Arabidopsis thaliana: one gene and its partner. The protein of the gene in region 2 interacts with the protein of the main gene of each other region in a pairwise test. Each region holds a gene or a part of one and is shown on either strand. Other genes may lie near its edges.

The links.
Region 1: the proteins of PCL1 (region 2) and AT4G12670 interact in a two-hybrid assay, tested with the Arabidopsis thaliana proteins (one large-scale study listed by BioGRID).

The regions. Positions count from the first base shown.
Region 1 is NC_003075.7:7,469,140-7,477,246, reverse strand, and holds AT4G12670 (Homeodomain-like superfamily protein), read right to left. Parts: upstream 5,242-8,107; 5' UTR 5,170-5,241; coding exon 5,140-5,169; intron 5,018-5,139; coding exon 3,486-5,017; intron 3,366-3,485; coding exon 3,311-3,365; intron 2,941-3,310; coding exon 2,728-2,940; 3' UTR 2,196-2,727; downstream 1-2,195. Other genes in the region: AT4G12680 (uncharacterized protein), read right to left, coding at 73-238, 363-469, 845-1,133, 1,227-1,556, 1,644-1,752, 2,050-2,143; AT4G12650 (Endomembrane protein 70 protein family), read left to right, coding at 7,082-8,107.
Region 2 is NC_003074.8:17,180,067-17,187,363, forward strand, and holds PCL1 (Homeodomain-like superfamily protein), read left to right. Parts: upstream 1-3,003; 5' UTR 3,004-3,181; coding exon 3,182-4,055; coding exon of another isoform or gene 4,056-4,153; exon of another isoform or gene 4,154-4,820; intron 4,821-4,822; coding exon 4,823-4,923; 3' UTR 4,924-4,985; exon of another isoform or gene 4,986-5,119; 3' UTR 5,120-5,288; downstream 5,289-7,297. Other genes in the region: AT3G46630 (DCL protein (DUF3223)), read right to left, coding at 1,072-1,242, 1,431-1,545, 1,943-2,280; AT3G46650 (UDP-Glycosyltransferase superfamily protein), read right to left, coding at 5,495-5,714, 6,524-7,178. UniProt on the Arabidopsis thaliana protein: Transcription factor that is essential for the generation of the circadian clock oscillation. Is necessary for activation of CCA1 and LHY expression.

The sequences.
Region 1 (8,107 bases), on a different chromosome or scaffold from region 2:
TAAAAGAGAAACACGTGTGTTCACTTACTCACTGGAGATTATGCTATGAAGTCAAATAAAGGTCTAATATACCTGAACTGGTTTATATAGTGTAATTGCTTTTTTCAGTGTCCTCGACTGTTCTGAAACAAGCTTTGAACCCAGGGAGCTGCTTCTTTTGCTCTTGAGATCAACGTTCTTACTCTCTCCTAATATTCTTTTCCCATGAACAGTCTCTGTTTTCGTCCTATAGCAAGGCCTGGCTGTCACAAGCATATATACTTTACAGTCACAAATTTATAATCAACCAACGCTAAATCACGAAATCGAAGGTTTACGTCGTGGATATGAAATATTAATGGAACAGAGCCTCCACTATGTACCTCGGCAGGCTAGTTCCTTCTCTCAAATAGAGTAAATCATTTACATATTCGTCAAACAGTGAGACCGCAGCAATTATATAGTTAAGTCCCATTCTGAAAGAGTCCTCCTGAATAAATAATCAAACGATTAAAGGATAGAGACCTCCTAACCGACCATAAATTATCAGTGCCTACCCATAGCGATCATTCAAGATACATGTCTTAAGAATTTTCATGGCAGATACTTAAATTACAAAATCTATGGCTAAGCCGCAGTTTAACTAACATAAAGTATCTAAACTAGCCAGAACTATTGTCGAAGCAACAGTAACTATCTCACAAATAGTTAAAAATCACAACCAGAGGAGCTCAAGAATTAAGCAGTTTCCTTTCAAATCCTTTCGACATAGAATCTAATGAAGCCTCAAAACCAAAGAACATCAACATAACCAAATCTGTAAGCTATAAAACCACTTAATGGACTATAAGTAAAGGCTGTGAACCTGATGAACGATGACTCCACTGTACAGTCCAAGAAAGAAGCTGGATAAAACTGAAGCTATTACAGCTCCCGCGACAGCCAGTGGCCATAGCAATATGGCAAGACCTGCAAATGGAACACAGACACTCTCTAGGAATGGGCCCTCTCTACCAACAAGGTCTTCCAATAGCCTCTTCCATCCTTTGAGTAACATGTATGGGCTTTTGTAAACAGCGACAGCTGTTATTAGAAGAACATCTACCATCACACCTATGAGACTAGCAAGGAGACAACTAGGTAGCCGAGACAACCTGGTAAGAAAATGAGATTACGCCATCACTGTAAACTGTAAAAAAAAATTGTTCTTCTTTATCTCTAACGAAGAGAGCGATTCAGATTCTTACTTTATCTCTAAGGGTTCAACATCGGCCGAAACCATTTCTCTTAACTCATCCATGTAGGAGAAGTAAGAATGGAAGCAGAAATCTGTGAAGTCTGTAACCACAGTACAACTCCCTTTAATAGTGGAGAACGAACCATCAACAAAGCAATGGTAGCATTTGCTAGTAACAGACTCTCCTACAGCCTCGAATGTAGCCATAAGAGGCGTGAAAAACCCGTAGGCGATTCCACCGAAGAGACTTCCTACTATACCAGCAACTGGCCAGAGGAGCAAAGGCAGTGGAAATAATACCAATGCCAAGGTCTTCAAAACCAGCCCTATTCTCTTGGTTCTAGAGGTTACAAAAACAAGATATTTAGTGGAAATTAAAAGGAGATGAAACAAGAAACAAAGTATTTCAAATTTGATGGGTATACACCTTGCCAAACAGTAGTAGGTCCAAATGAAATGTGCTGGCCAAAGGCCAATGATGACACATGAATTGCCAACCAAAATTATAGCAGATGATATTGGACCAATAATCAGGGCTGAGAACCAAAACGAAACAAGAGGGAGAACGTTACACCGTACATAACTTACAGTGCTTTACTAAAATACTCAATAAGTTTTGTGTAAATAAACATCATTACTCATTATTAATATGAATTCAAATAGCTTCAGTAGCCTCCTAAAGTATTCCATTTACCAAAATCTAACCTTAAGAGTGCAGAAAATCAGATTCGAGTTTACACGACTCTGGAGCTCTAACAAACTCAAGAGCTAATAAGCAAAGCTAACATCTCCATTCTTATGGATGGAGAGAAGAAAGAAGAGAAGATTCATACCCTTGGTGACGCCAAGGAGCAGCAAGAGGAAGAAGTAAGGAAGAAAAGAGACAAAACTCCACAGTTTCTCAAAGAATCCTTTGGGAACTTCCATTTCTTTTTTTCTTGCCACTCAGTGAGCAGAGAATAAACCGACAGAAATAAGCCGAAAGTGGAGGATAGTGGCTGTACGTGGCACTCTTCTAGGACACGTGGCGGTTAAAGGATTTATAGTTGAACCCACGCACTGGCGGGAATTCTACCCTCATCATTTTCTGTCTAAAACATCTATTTTTTAATTCATTAAAAACTTAGAAAAAAGTTTGTTTACACGAAGTGTAAAATTGACCTTACTGTTTTCTTCTTTGTCTTACAATTGCAGAGAAATCCATATCAAAAGACATGTAAAAGTTTAATAGATATTGAAGTACAACATTGGTTCATGATTTTTAGTATAAACTTGTGTTCAAGTGTCATGAAATATCATCTCACTCTTGTGAATTCTCTACATTGCCGAGGACATACAAATTAGAAAGGTAAGATCAATTTTTTTTTTTTTTTTTTGAATTTAGTGTTAAAAGGTAAGATCAGTTTTGCTCCATATACATTTAGCAAACTAGGAGCAAGCAAGGTTGTACAAAATCTGCAAAGCCCTATCTACTACTCTTCTAAGCTCTAATGCTTGCTAAGTCCGATAGGTCATTCAGAACTAACTTCAGACACATAGTAATTCGGTTGTCTTTCAGTTGAAAGGCTTACCCATTTCCCCGTGTCAGAAGGAATTTTGTTTAACGTCTTCCACTTGTCCTTGAGGTCGCTTGGAGCCCGTTCATCATGAAACACATCCCGACCAAATTGCAAGATTTTGCGCCATGGAATATTCCTCTCGCCAGGGAATTTCTGCACACCAACCTAAAGGACAGGACGAAGTTAGACAAATCCACATTTATCACCATTGTGCACTACATAGCAAAATATTTAATTTGGACAGCCACAAACAATGTTATATATCTCAGATATAATTTCACAATGATTTGGAGGATAAGCTCTTATTTATGAAGTCTAGTCTACAAAACAATTGCATTACGACTGAAAATGAAATACCGCCTCTTAGGAGATGATAAGACCAGCTACCCTGGCTGTTTTTATAAAGCTGATAAACTAAAACAGGCATAAACCTTTAAAAAGAGCCGTTGAATGTGTAAGCTCCAAATTACGAAAAACCAAGATAACTGCAGCATGAAATATACGTAGGATAGAGAGAAATGTGCAAGTTACATACCCTAAGCATCTCTACTTCTGCCAGCGTCCAAAATCGTCTTTTCCTTTTTGTAGCACTACATGGAAGAAAAATTGTTAGCTTAAAGCCCGTGACAAGCTGCTTAGGAATCTTCCTCAAAAACATCCATTATGCTAAAGGCAATTTAAATGTCACGAAGTTCCAAATGAATAGAAACCTTTGTGCGGGATCATTAGACGCAGGTCCATTCTTCTCCAGGTAACTTTTGTGTCCGTATTTTTCAGGTTGAAAAGATGGTTTCTTCGAAGAGACAGAGCGTAAAGGTCGTGCTTCGATAGGTTGTTCTTGTACACCAGCCTTAGGGTGGATGATCAAAGCTAACTCTTGAAAAGCAACATTAGGGTCGTTAACATTGTTTGTAGACTCCGGAGATGAAATAGATGATACAGACTTTCGCTCTACTTGTTCAACTGTGCTGAAACCAGTCGCTTGCTTATTGAAGGCCACATCATCATTTCTCATATCAGCTTGGCATTGTCTGTCTTGATTCTCCGCCAAATAGAACTCATCCCCATCTCTTTCCACTCCTCTTTCCCGCTTTCTCTTCCTATCCTTAGAAACTTCCTTCCCATGAGTTTCAGTTTTAACAGTTTCGGTATGCTGATTCTTTTCAATATGTCTTCCCTCCCGATATCGCCCCTCCCCTAATCCAGAACCGAGTGACACTCTTTTATTGGTCCTAGGGATTTCCTGCTCGCATCTTTCAGTAGACGACACTTTCGTTTGCTGGTTATTCTCATGGAAACATCCTTGCCCACTTCTTCCCTCACCGAAATCAGAATCGCGGGCTTCTGTTCTTCCATCATTAGTTAAGACGTCGTGTTCATGAGTAGTTGCAACTGTTTTGTTTTGCTGGTTCTTCTCACTGTATCTCCTCTTCTCTTTTGTTTTGATACCAACAGCAAAACTGTGCGGTTGTGCTTTTTCATGGTTTATATCATCGCATCTTCTCTGTCGCTTTCTTTCCCCACCAACATCAATACTGTGCGCTTCTGGTGCTTGATGATTTTTCTCATTACCTCTTCTTACCCTTCCCTTTCTTCCCTCACCTGCATTAGAAATGCACGCATATGAAATTTCATAATTCTTCTCATTAAATCTTCCTCGCTGCTTTCTTCCCTTATCCGAATCAATATCATCAGCCTTAGAATTTTCCCGAGAATGAGTTTCAGCAGCAACTTTTTGCATTTTCTGACTCTTCTCGATCACTATCCATTTATTGTTTAATCCATCACCTTCCCTTCTCTTCCCACTAACCATACCACTTGCTCCAGAAACATTAACCTCCACTACATTCTCAACACCTCCAGCTTCTTTCTCCATCATTAAACCCACATCTACTCCTCCTAAACTCTCTCTACATCCCTTCCTAGACTTGTCAGTCAGCATAAGCTTCTTCCCTAACTCCAAACACTTGACAACTACACGCTTATACCAACAATAAGGACAATAGAAATTTCCAAATTCATCGAAATCAGGTTCATCAGATGCACAACTCTGATGAATAGCTATAGTACATTCCTCTCCGTAACATACCAAAACCCAATTGTCTTTCCCATCACACACGAAACAAGTATTAGTCTTTACAACATTATCACTATCACCTCCCTTGCTTTGCCCTAAATTTTGAGTCTTTCCTCCAATTGGACCATTCTCGTGAGTTTTCGGGTTTTCTTCATCAACGTCGTCCTGCGTTATCACATCAAAACAATCACCAAACTTTCGAAAGAAAGTAACAAAATTGACTTAAAAGATGAGAATTTTCGATTTTTTTTATCTCCAGTAAGTACAGAGAAACGTAAGAAGATTACCGAATCGGAGGATAAAATTCGAGAACTCATATCTTCTTCTTCTTTTTGCAATTTCTTCTGTTCATCGTTTCAGAGGTTAATTCCTGCGATTTGGTTCACTTTACTTCTTTCTTATTGGGCTGTTTATGGCTTCTTTTATTTTCATTAGGTTGGGCTGTGCCCACTAAACTTTACTTTAAAGTAAAACAGATAAAATTTTAATCAAATTCAAGAGAATATACCAAATTCAAGAGAAATTTTAACCCTAAAATCATGCATATAGGAACAAATTCTAATCAAGTTCATGAATAAAATAAAGATCCAATAGAGTATTAATCGAAACAATCATCAAGACTGATGAAAAAAACTATCTCTGCCAATAATCGGCTTTACTCATGCTTAGCTTCTTTTACCATTATGTATATCAATCATGTCTTACAATACATACATATACTCGTTAATGATTCAAATTACCCTAATTTTACTGACAACGAACAACTTTATTTTTTCCAATTCGATGAATCATAATTCTAAGAACTCACATCACATCAATTCATATAATCAGAGAGAGATTTTTACGTTGACAAACCGATTGGTGAATGATTACCTCCAATTTTTAAATCAAAATTCAGATATCGATTTCGAAAGTTCACTTCGTTGATTAGATGAAACAAAAACGCTGTGGAGATAATAGCGTAAGGACGACCGGAGGTCATAAACCTAATTAAACCCAATTTACCATTTAATTTTGTTAACATTCTTATCTATGAATCCTGCTAATAATCATGTGGCCTATTTCACCATGAACTAAATTGCTTTATCGTTTCCATTCACCGAACTTTTTTATGTGCTTATAACTACATGAACTTAAATTTAATTTGAATTTACAATACAAACTATGAAAATTCGGTAGAAAACCTCAAATTGCTAGACTGTAGAATATCATGTTACATTTCAGCTTCTCAAAACATTATTTTGTGAATATTTTACTCTATTATAATGCTAGTTAACATATATATTAATGTATTTAATGTTTGAGAAAATACGCATGTCAAAATGCCGGATGCCAGCTTCTCAAAATATGTATTTTGTGTAAATTTTACTTTCTTACATAAGAGTTCAAAATAATTCAAAATTGTAGTAAATATTGAATTCTTTAGCAAAAAAAAAAATGTTCAAATTATATGTGATAAAATTATTTTTTGTTTCCAAAAAATTGGTCATTTGGCTTTGTTTTATTTTTTTAAAAATTAACTACATTATACTCTCTCTATTTTACAAAAATCTCATTTAAAAACCGTCGTTTACTTAAAAATATAATTAATTATAACCAGTTCAACCAATAGAAATTCAAGGCCTTAGATGAAGTTTTTTTTTTTTTTTTTTTTGGCCTCAGATGAAGTTAGGCACGGTGATTACCGCACCGACATATTGTATAAGCGCGTCACAGAGAATAACTACCCAACACACCCACGATTTTCTTGATTTTCGTTATTCGCTCTCTTTGCGAACGCATTAAGCAACCAAAGCAAAGCAGTGAGAGAGATTATCAGCGTGACCTTCGAAACAACCCAAAGTCCCTCGACCACCTCTTCTAGATCTGACTCCCTCGTAGATCTCCATACCTGGATCTCTCTCTCTCAGGTTTGCTCTCGAATACTCTGAGATCTGTTGGATTCGCATCTGCTTCTTCTTTCGCGTTTTCTGATTTTGTATTCATCGTTTTCGTATTCCATTATATCAATTAGCTTCTGAGTTTTGCGTTTATGATCCATTTGAGATCTGATCTATTGATCCACCGATCTGATTCATTAATCCCGAATCTGGTTACTACGAATCTGATCTACATGCATAAACCATTTCGATTTCAATGTATTCGTGAGAATGTGCTTGAATCTGTTACAATAGTAGTGATTTTTACTAATCGTGAGAGAGTTTTTGTATTTTGATACAGGAAGGGACAATGTTTGGTGTGTATCGAGTATTCGTGTTACTGGTGTTTGTTAGTCAGCTTTGCAATGGGTTTTACTTACCAGGGAGTTATATGCACACATATTCAGATGGAGACTCTATCTTCGCCAAAGTCAATTCCTTGACTTCTATTGAAACTGAGCTTCCTTTCAGTTACTATAGTCTTCCTTACTGCCAACCACTTGAAGGTATCAAGAAAAGTGCTGAGAATCTTGGTGAGCTTCTCATGGGTGATCAGATTGATAACTCTGCTTATAGGTTTCGGATGAGAACCAATGAGTCTCTTTACTTATGCACTACGAGTCCTTTGAATGAGCATGAGGTCAAGCTCTTGAAACAGAGAACTCGTGAGTTGTATCAAGTGAATATGATTCTTGATAACTTGCCTGCTTTGAGATTCGCTAAGCAGAATGGGGTTACTATCCAGTGGACTGGATATCCTGTTGGGTATTCGCCACCTAACAGTAATGATGATTACATCATTAATCACCTCAAGTTTAAGGTTTTGGTTCATGAGTATGAAGGCAATGTCATGGAGGTGATTGGTACTGGTGAAGAAGGTATGGGTGTGATCTCTGAAGCTGATAAGAAGAAGGCATTGGGGTATGAGATTGTTGGATTTGAGGTTGTTCCCTGCAGTGTTAAGTATGATGCTGAAAAAATGACGAAGCTTCACATGTATGACCCTGTTCCTTCAGTTAACTGTCCATTGGAGCTTGACAAAGCTCAGATCATTAAAGAACATGAAAGAATAACCTTCACTTATGAAGTGGAATTTGTTAAGAGTGAGACAAGATGGCCATCCAGATGGGATGCCTATTTGAAAATGGAAGGTGCTCGTGTTCATTGGTTCTCTATTTTGAACTCGCTTATGGTGATCTTCTTTCTGGCCGGTATAGTTTTCGTCATATTCCTGAGGACAGTGAGAAGGGATTTGACAAAGTATGAGGAACTGGACAAGGAAGCACAGGCACAGATGAATGAGGAGCTCTCTGGATGGAAACTTGTTGTCGGAGAT
Region 2 (7,297 bases):
TGATGAGAGAAGGAAAAAGGAGAAAAAAGATTTGTTTATATAATGTGGTTTTTTGTAGGTGAGTGTTAACGGTGTTACTTTAGACGGTGAGAACACGTGACAGTGTTTTGAGTTTTGACTAGGGGAGATGATGACGGAGTTATTAACGGTGGTCTCTTTGGAGTGAAGAGCGTCATTGACGTGTGCGAGATATTTGACCCAAATGTGAAAACTGTTACCTTCGAAGAAGTTTCAGAAGAATCAGCGTGGGACCTACCTTCGTTTCTTTCTTTGAAAGTTACTAAACGTCGTCGTTTTGTGGGGTAAGTATACTTTAGTTGGAGTACAAAATAATTTTGTTTGTTTGTAAATAATTTGTTTCACAAGGTAAAAGATCCATTTGACCCCAAATTAGAAAAGAAAAAGAAGGTAAAAGATCTATTTGTATTGATGTGAAATATATAATATAAATCTTTGAATTTTGGAAATGATGTAAATGTGTTCTTGTATATGTTGATTATCAACATATGTTGACATATTTTTTAGTTTGTTTAAGGACTAAATGGTTATTGGTTCAACTTTAATTTTGTCAACTAAATGCTTGTAGTTTGTTAACCAAAACATTTGACTTTATGAGTTATATATATGGAGTCAATTATGGGTTGGAATAAGGTAGATTCTTCTCTTATCCTCATCGTTTGGAAACATTACAAAGCGTACTGGTTTGGGTTTCTTTTTGAGATTGTTCATTTTGGGCTTTGCTCTCTGACAGTTTAGACTTTGGAAATTCTCTAGCTACTTCGAAAGTTTGAAGTGACAATATTTTTACTTGCAAAGGATGTTCGAAGTTTCAGCTAAAAAGATTTTACAACATGCAAATATTGTATTCCATAACTAGAATTACTTTCGGTCTCAAAAATTGATTGTTCTGCAGTCTGAACCAACTACTATTTTCCTAACTCATTCAAGTCTTCCAATAGATTGAGCAATTTATAAATTTTGTACAACAAAGCTTCATAGCTGATTGTGTTATTTCAGCTAAAAATTTATGAGAATTTGCTGTGATGATGAGTGGGACAGTTATACAGATTTTTAGCTACTAGCACGCTTAAAATGTTCACGAATAAACCTCTCAGCGTGAGACGGGTACTTATCTCGAACATAGGCTCGAAGACACTTTTGGTACGAGAAATCTATCCATCCACCATCTGTTCTCACAACAAAGAGGCATCTTGAGTGCCTGAATTGTGGATGCCGATCAACCTGCCAGTAACAAAGTAGCACACTCATAAGTCCATGCACATAAAGCAAATGAAGATTTATGGATAGAGCATGTAAGTAAGTCATATATCTATCATGGTGATTCGAGAACTATGCACAATACCTCAAGATAATTTCTATATGAGTAGAGCTTAAAGAGAGAGATATCGGGTTAGCTCGAATTTACGTACCATTATAAAATCAAGACCACAACCAATTTTGTCTTTGGAATATGGGTGATAAGGAAGAAGCTTTTCCATGACAATTTTCTCATCCTCAAAATCTAAGCGTTCTCCATCCAAATACCTGCTTACCAAAAAGGAAAAAAAAAACAGCTCACTAGAACTGCAAAAAGTAATCTACACAAAGAAAACAGCAAGTATGCTCTGAAGCTAGCTTCAAATGTCAATAGTTCACTAGAAAAAAGTTGTAATTTGCCTAATGTTCAAGTAAACTGAAGATATATACAAGAGCATCTCTCACTTTCTGCAATGACCACTATAATCCTATCATCCATTGCTAAAGGATCCTCAACAATAAGCCAAGAATATCATCATGTGTAATAGTCACCTCAAAAGGCCATATGGTGTCTCTATGTTGTTTGATTAAGCTACTGGAAGAAGCTATGAGCCTATACCTTCAATACTAATCCAAACATGGAACAGCTATTGAAGAACAATCAGCAAGAATTTGAAGAAATTACCTATCGGAATGAAGAATTTCTTTAGCGAGAAGAGAAATAGGTTCAATATCTCGAAGAATCTCAGCCTCTAGATTCTTCCATTTCCGATAATCAGGATCTTCATAACGCCAGCTATTATCAACAACAGGCGATGTCACGTTCATCGCCGCCGCGCCGGATCCCTCCACCGGAGAAACAGAATCATTATTCTCGTAAAACTGTGGTCTATCAGCAAGAGAACACAACAAACGCCGACGGTGACTGAGAATTCCACCAGCTACGATACCAACTTGATGACGATGGTTGAGAAATCCGTTGCGGAGAAGCGGAAGCGTTCTGAGAAGAAGTAGCGAGGTCATCGACCACAATCAAGGAGTAATATAGACAATAATAACGAATAAAACCCTAATCTGTACTAATCACTCGAAGAAGATGAAAAATTGGGGAAATCTCAGAGAATCAGAAATTTGAGAAGAAGATAACGTTTCGTCAGTTTGTGAAGTTGGGGCATCGAACCCGTGACGTTGAAGAAGCTAAACAGAGTAACTAAACCTCTCTGAGCCTTTCCACAATAATTATTTTCATTTTCTTAAAAGTTAGGTGCCAGCCAATCTGTGCCGTTAGATTGATCTTTATATGCTTCTATAAATATCTAAAACAACAATCCAACGGTGGAAAGATCACATTGCGTGTCAGTACTGTAGATACTCATCACCGAATCTTTCTCCTCTTTTCACTCTCCAGCTGGCCGAACCCACCGGTTTTGCCCACTTTCTCTCTAGGCCCGCAAACACAACTTGCTAAGTCGGTAGTAATTTACTGAAAAACCCTCACAAATAGCTGACTTGGCTCTTTTCACTCCACGTGGCTCCATCTTACGTGCCTAGTTTGGTAATTTCAATTTCAATCACCTAGATCGTAACTATTGATACATAATGTGAACTGATGACGTGTTGAAAAGAGATTGGTTAGGTCGGTTTGAAAAGATATTTAGAAGATCTAAAATATCTAGCTAACTCGTCCACGTTGGAATTAAAATATTGCGCTTTTTCCTGGAAAAGAAAAATATAAAACAAGTGATAATCTTCTCTTTTTCGAAATTGTTTCACTTCTGAAAAAAAAAAAAAAAAAAATTGTTTGCTCATCATCTTCACAAACCAAACTTCTCTTCTTCTCCGATCTCAGATTTGAATTTTTATCGATTTTGAGCTTCGAAGAGCTCAATCTCTAACTGAATTTCGAGAAATTAGAGAGTTTGAAATGGGAGAGGAAGTACAAATGAGCGATTACGATGTTTCCGGCGACGGAGATAGGGTTTCTGAATGGGAGATGGGATTACCAAGCGACGAAGATCTAGCATCTCTTTCTTACTCTCTGATTCCACCGAATTTGGCGATGGCGTTTAGTATCACACCGGAGAGAAGCCGTACGATTCAGGATGTGAATCGTGCATCGGAGACGACGCTCTCGTCGCTACGTGGTGGATCTTCAGGTCCAAATACCTCGTCGTCGAATAATAACGTGGAGGAGGAAGATCGAGTTGGATCTAGCAGTCCTGGATCGGATTCGAAGAAGCAAAAGACATCAAACGGTGATGGAGATGACGGTGGCGGTGTGGATCCGGATTCGGCGATGGCGGCGGAAGAAGGAGATTCAGGAACTGAAGATCTATCTGGGAAAACACTTAAACGACCGCGTTTAGTGTGGACACCGCAGCTACACAAGAGATTCGTTGACGTTGTAGCTCACTTAGGGATCAAAAACGCTGTTCCGAAGACGATTATGCAGCTGATGAACGTTGAAGGATTAACTCGTGAGAACGTTGCGTCTCATCTTCAAAAGTATAGGCTTTACCTCAAAAGGATGCAGGGATTGACTAATGAAGGTCCCTCTGCTTCGGATAAGCTCTTCTCTTCAACACCTGTTCCTCCACAGAGCTTCCAAGATATCGGTGGCGGTGGCGGTAGCAGCGGTAATGTTGGAGTGCCGATTCCGGGGGCGTATGGAACGCAACAGATGATGCAGATGCCAGTTTATGCACATCATATGGGTATGCAAGGATATCATCATCAAAATCATAATCATGATCCTTATCATCAGAATCATCGTCATCATCATGGAGCTGGTGGAAATGGTGCGTTTGAGTCAAATCCTTATATGATGCAGCAGAATAAGTTTGGATCCATGGCTTCTTATCCTTCTGTTGGAGGTGGAAGCGCAAATGAGAATTAAAAAGAGTCTATAGATGGATTCAATGGGGGAGGAAGAGATAGGTGAGCTTGTTATTGCTCGTGGAACTGATAATTATTGTCAAGTTTCTGTTTTTTTAAGTACAGTACAGTTATAATTCTTACTCGATTTGATCGAAATTTTCATCAAGTTTCTGTCTTTTACTATAAATGGTATACAATAAAGTCTTAATAATCACTTGTTTGGTGATGTTGACAGAGTTAATATAATCAACTAAGTTGAATTTGATTTTGAGATTCTTGTGCTATGTTGAAATGTTATTGAGAATTAAGTATCAAAATTGCTCTCATGTGACTTGAGACTTAATGTAATCCAGATCATGTTTGATTCATCTTCGGAATTATATGGTGGTTTTGAAAACCATGTGTTTAATTTTCTCTTCGGGACTAGGTAACTAACACTGTGAGTTATGTCAAATCCAAGAGAGCATATGTGTCATGTGGCTCGACATTTTCTTGTGTACTCTTTTTGCAGAAGTGATAGTGTCATGTTATTTTGGTTTTGGTTTCCTCATTGGGAAAGTCTTGTGATGTTTTTTGATCTAGACAAGATATTACCTGTGCAAGCTTTTAGGTAGAATGAGCAGTTTCTCTTTTATGTTTGGGTTCTGCATCTTTTGCAGGTCTTGATCATATTTGATTGTTGTTACAGGTTCTTGGTGTCTACAAAATTTCTTATCTTTTGCGGAGTTTTCCACCGCAAAGTCCCAAATTGCATCTGTTCAGGAGAGGATCATACAAAGTATCATGTAGAAGCTAAACCAAGAGAAGACTGCAGACAAATTTCATATACTCATTTTTCTATCTTGTAAGAGGTAAGTCCCTTTGTTTTATTTGTCTGCAGACTTCTTAAAGTGGTAATCAAGAGAGTGAATTGTTTATTTCTGTGAGAGATGGCGTCAGACACAAACTTTATTTTAAAAATTTATAAACCAATCAAATGTTTCAGAAGAAGCCATTTTAATACAATCAAGTATTCCTCATATGATGACCTTACGAGTGATTGGAGAGCCACATACCAATGAACGTCCAACAAAAGGAAGAAAGTGACATTTTAACAAAAGCAAAAGTCTTTCCAATGTTTCTTGCTGACATAGGTTTCAGCCACTTAGGGTTCTACTTTGAGATTTAGATAATAATTTCAAGACCTTTTCATCTCCAATATATGTTCATAATTTTCATTAATATATGATTGTTTCTCTGCACATCATACATTCAGTGACAACCTTATCTTCAGACCTTGATTATCTTATTTAATAGTAGCGAGATTCTTCTAGAATAGAAAAGTACATAGATTTCTTAACATCCACACAAGTAATTGTCTTCATAGAGTCATCATGAAGTGTTCAAACTCCTTTAGCGAGTTGTGTAAAGAACCTCCACCTCTAACAGAGGCTCTCAGCTCCTCCTTCAAAGTGACGGCTCTCTTTCTCATTTCCTCTCCTTCTTCGAAAACCGTTAACCTCTTCACAGCTCTCTCGACCGCTCCTCTTTCTAGATCACCCTCCACTTGAATCCCAATTTTCCAAACACACTCCAAGTACCTTGCGTTCACCCGAAAATGGCCTGCAAATCACCGGAACTCCTTCGCTGATCATGTTTTCTAGTATCGAGTTGCATCCTTTATGGCTCCAAAACGCCCCTATTGCAGGATGAGCAAGTACTTCCTTCTGTGGAGCCCTTTTCACAATGTAGTTGATACATATGTTTTCTACTTGTTTATAGGGCGGAAGCTACTGTTACTAAGAAACCTGCTTTTCCTCCATTTCCAAAACCTACAAGAAAACTAATAAGTAGCTCTCTAAGCTCCGGGCTTATAGATTACTCTGCTTCTCATCTTCTTTGAACGTTTTATATATATAAATATCAGATTCTCGCTTGTGGACACTAATTCATCCGTATAATGTTTTGTTAGCTCTCTTTGCGCACATGTGAAGCATGTGGTCGATGGTGTACGCAAGTAGTTACATCTCTTTATTTTGTTAGAGAGAGTAGTAATCAAAGACAAAAGAAAAGATGTTTATTGTGATGCAACAATTCTATATTGAGCAAACTGCCAAGAGTGATACAAAAGAAACCACACTTTGCAAATTTTGCAACAATTCAATTAATATTACATGAAGTTCAACATCTTTGCTTTGTCTTCAAGTAATTGACAATATCTTCCAATGCGTTGTATGAGGCGCCTCCACTACTGACAGAGGCTTTGATCTTCTCTTTCAGAACAAGGGCTCTCTCTCGCATCCCCGCACCTTCGTCATCCACGATCAACCTCTTCACAGCTCTCTCAACCTCTCCTCTATCCACTTTACCTTCCACCTGAAACCCTATTCTCCAAACACTTTCTATATACATTGCATTCAACTTTTGCTCGCCATGAAAGGGCTTGCAAATCATTGGAACTCCTTCTCCAATGCTCTCGAGTATTGAGTTCCATCCACAGTGGCTCCAGAAGCCTCCCACTGCAGGATGTCCAAGTACTTCTATCTGCGGTGCTCGTTTCACAATGTATCCTCTTTCAGAGACCATTTTATTGACATCCTCTGGCAATGACTCTATTCCGTTAGTGCCAAGGATAGAACCCGCTCGGATAACCCATAGAAATGGTTGGTTGCTATTACACAACCCCCAAGACATCTCCAAAACTTCCTTGGTTTCCATTTGACCAAGTGTTCCTATGCTTATGTATATCACTGACTTTGGTTTCTGCTTGTTCAGCCATTCAATGCAGCTCCTGTCCTCTTCAAGTAAACTAGAAGGTGATGAATCTGTCATGTGAAGAGGGCCTAATGGATACACAGAAATTCCTACTTTTTGTTCCAGCCATGACAGAGACGAGCTCTCTAGACAGCTCACCGTGTTGATGATAACAGCTGAAGCTGTTCTTTTGTTGGCTACTTCCCTACAGAGCTCAAAAAATCGATCTAGTGGCCCCATTCCTGAAGTCGGTAGGTCTTTGTATCGTAATGGATACAAATTTTCCACCACCTTGTCTTGCATATCAGGATCTGCAAAGTTGAAAAAAACAAATACCAAGGTTAAGTTAAAAGAGTGATCATTTCAAGATTGGTTATTAAGCTTGTTTTGGTTACCTTCCATGTCAAGCAAGAACTTGTCTGCATTGAGT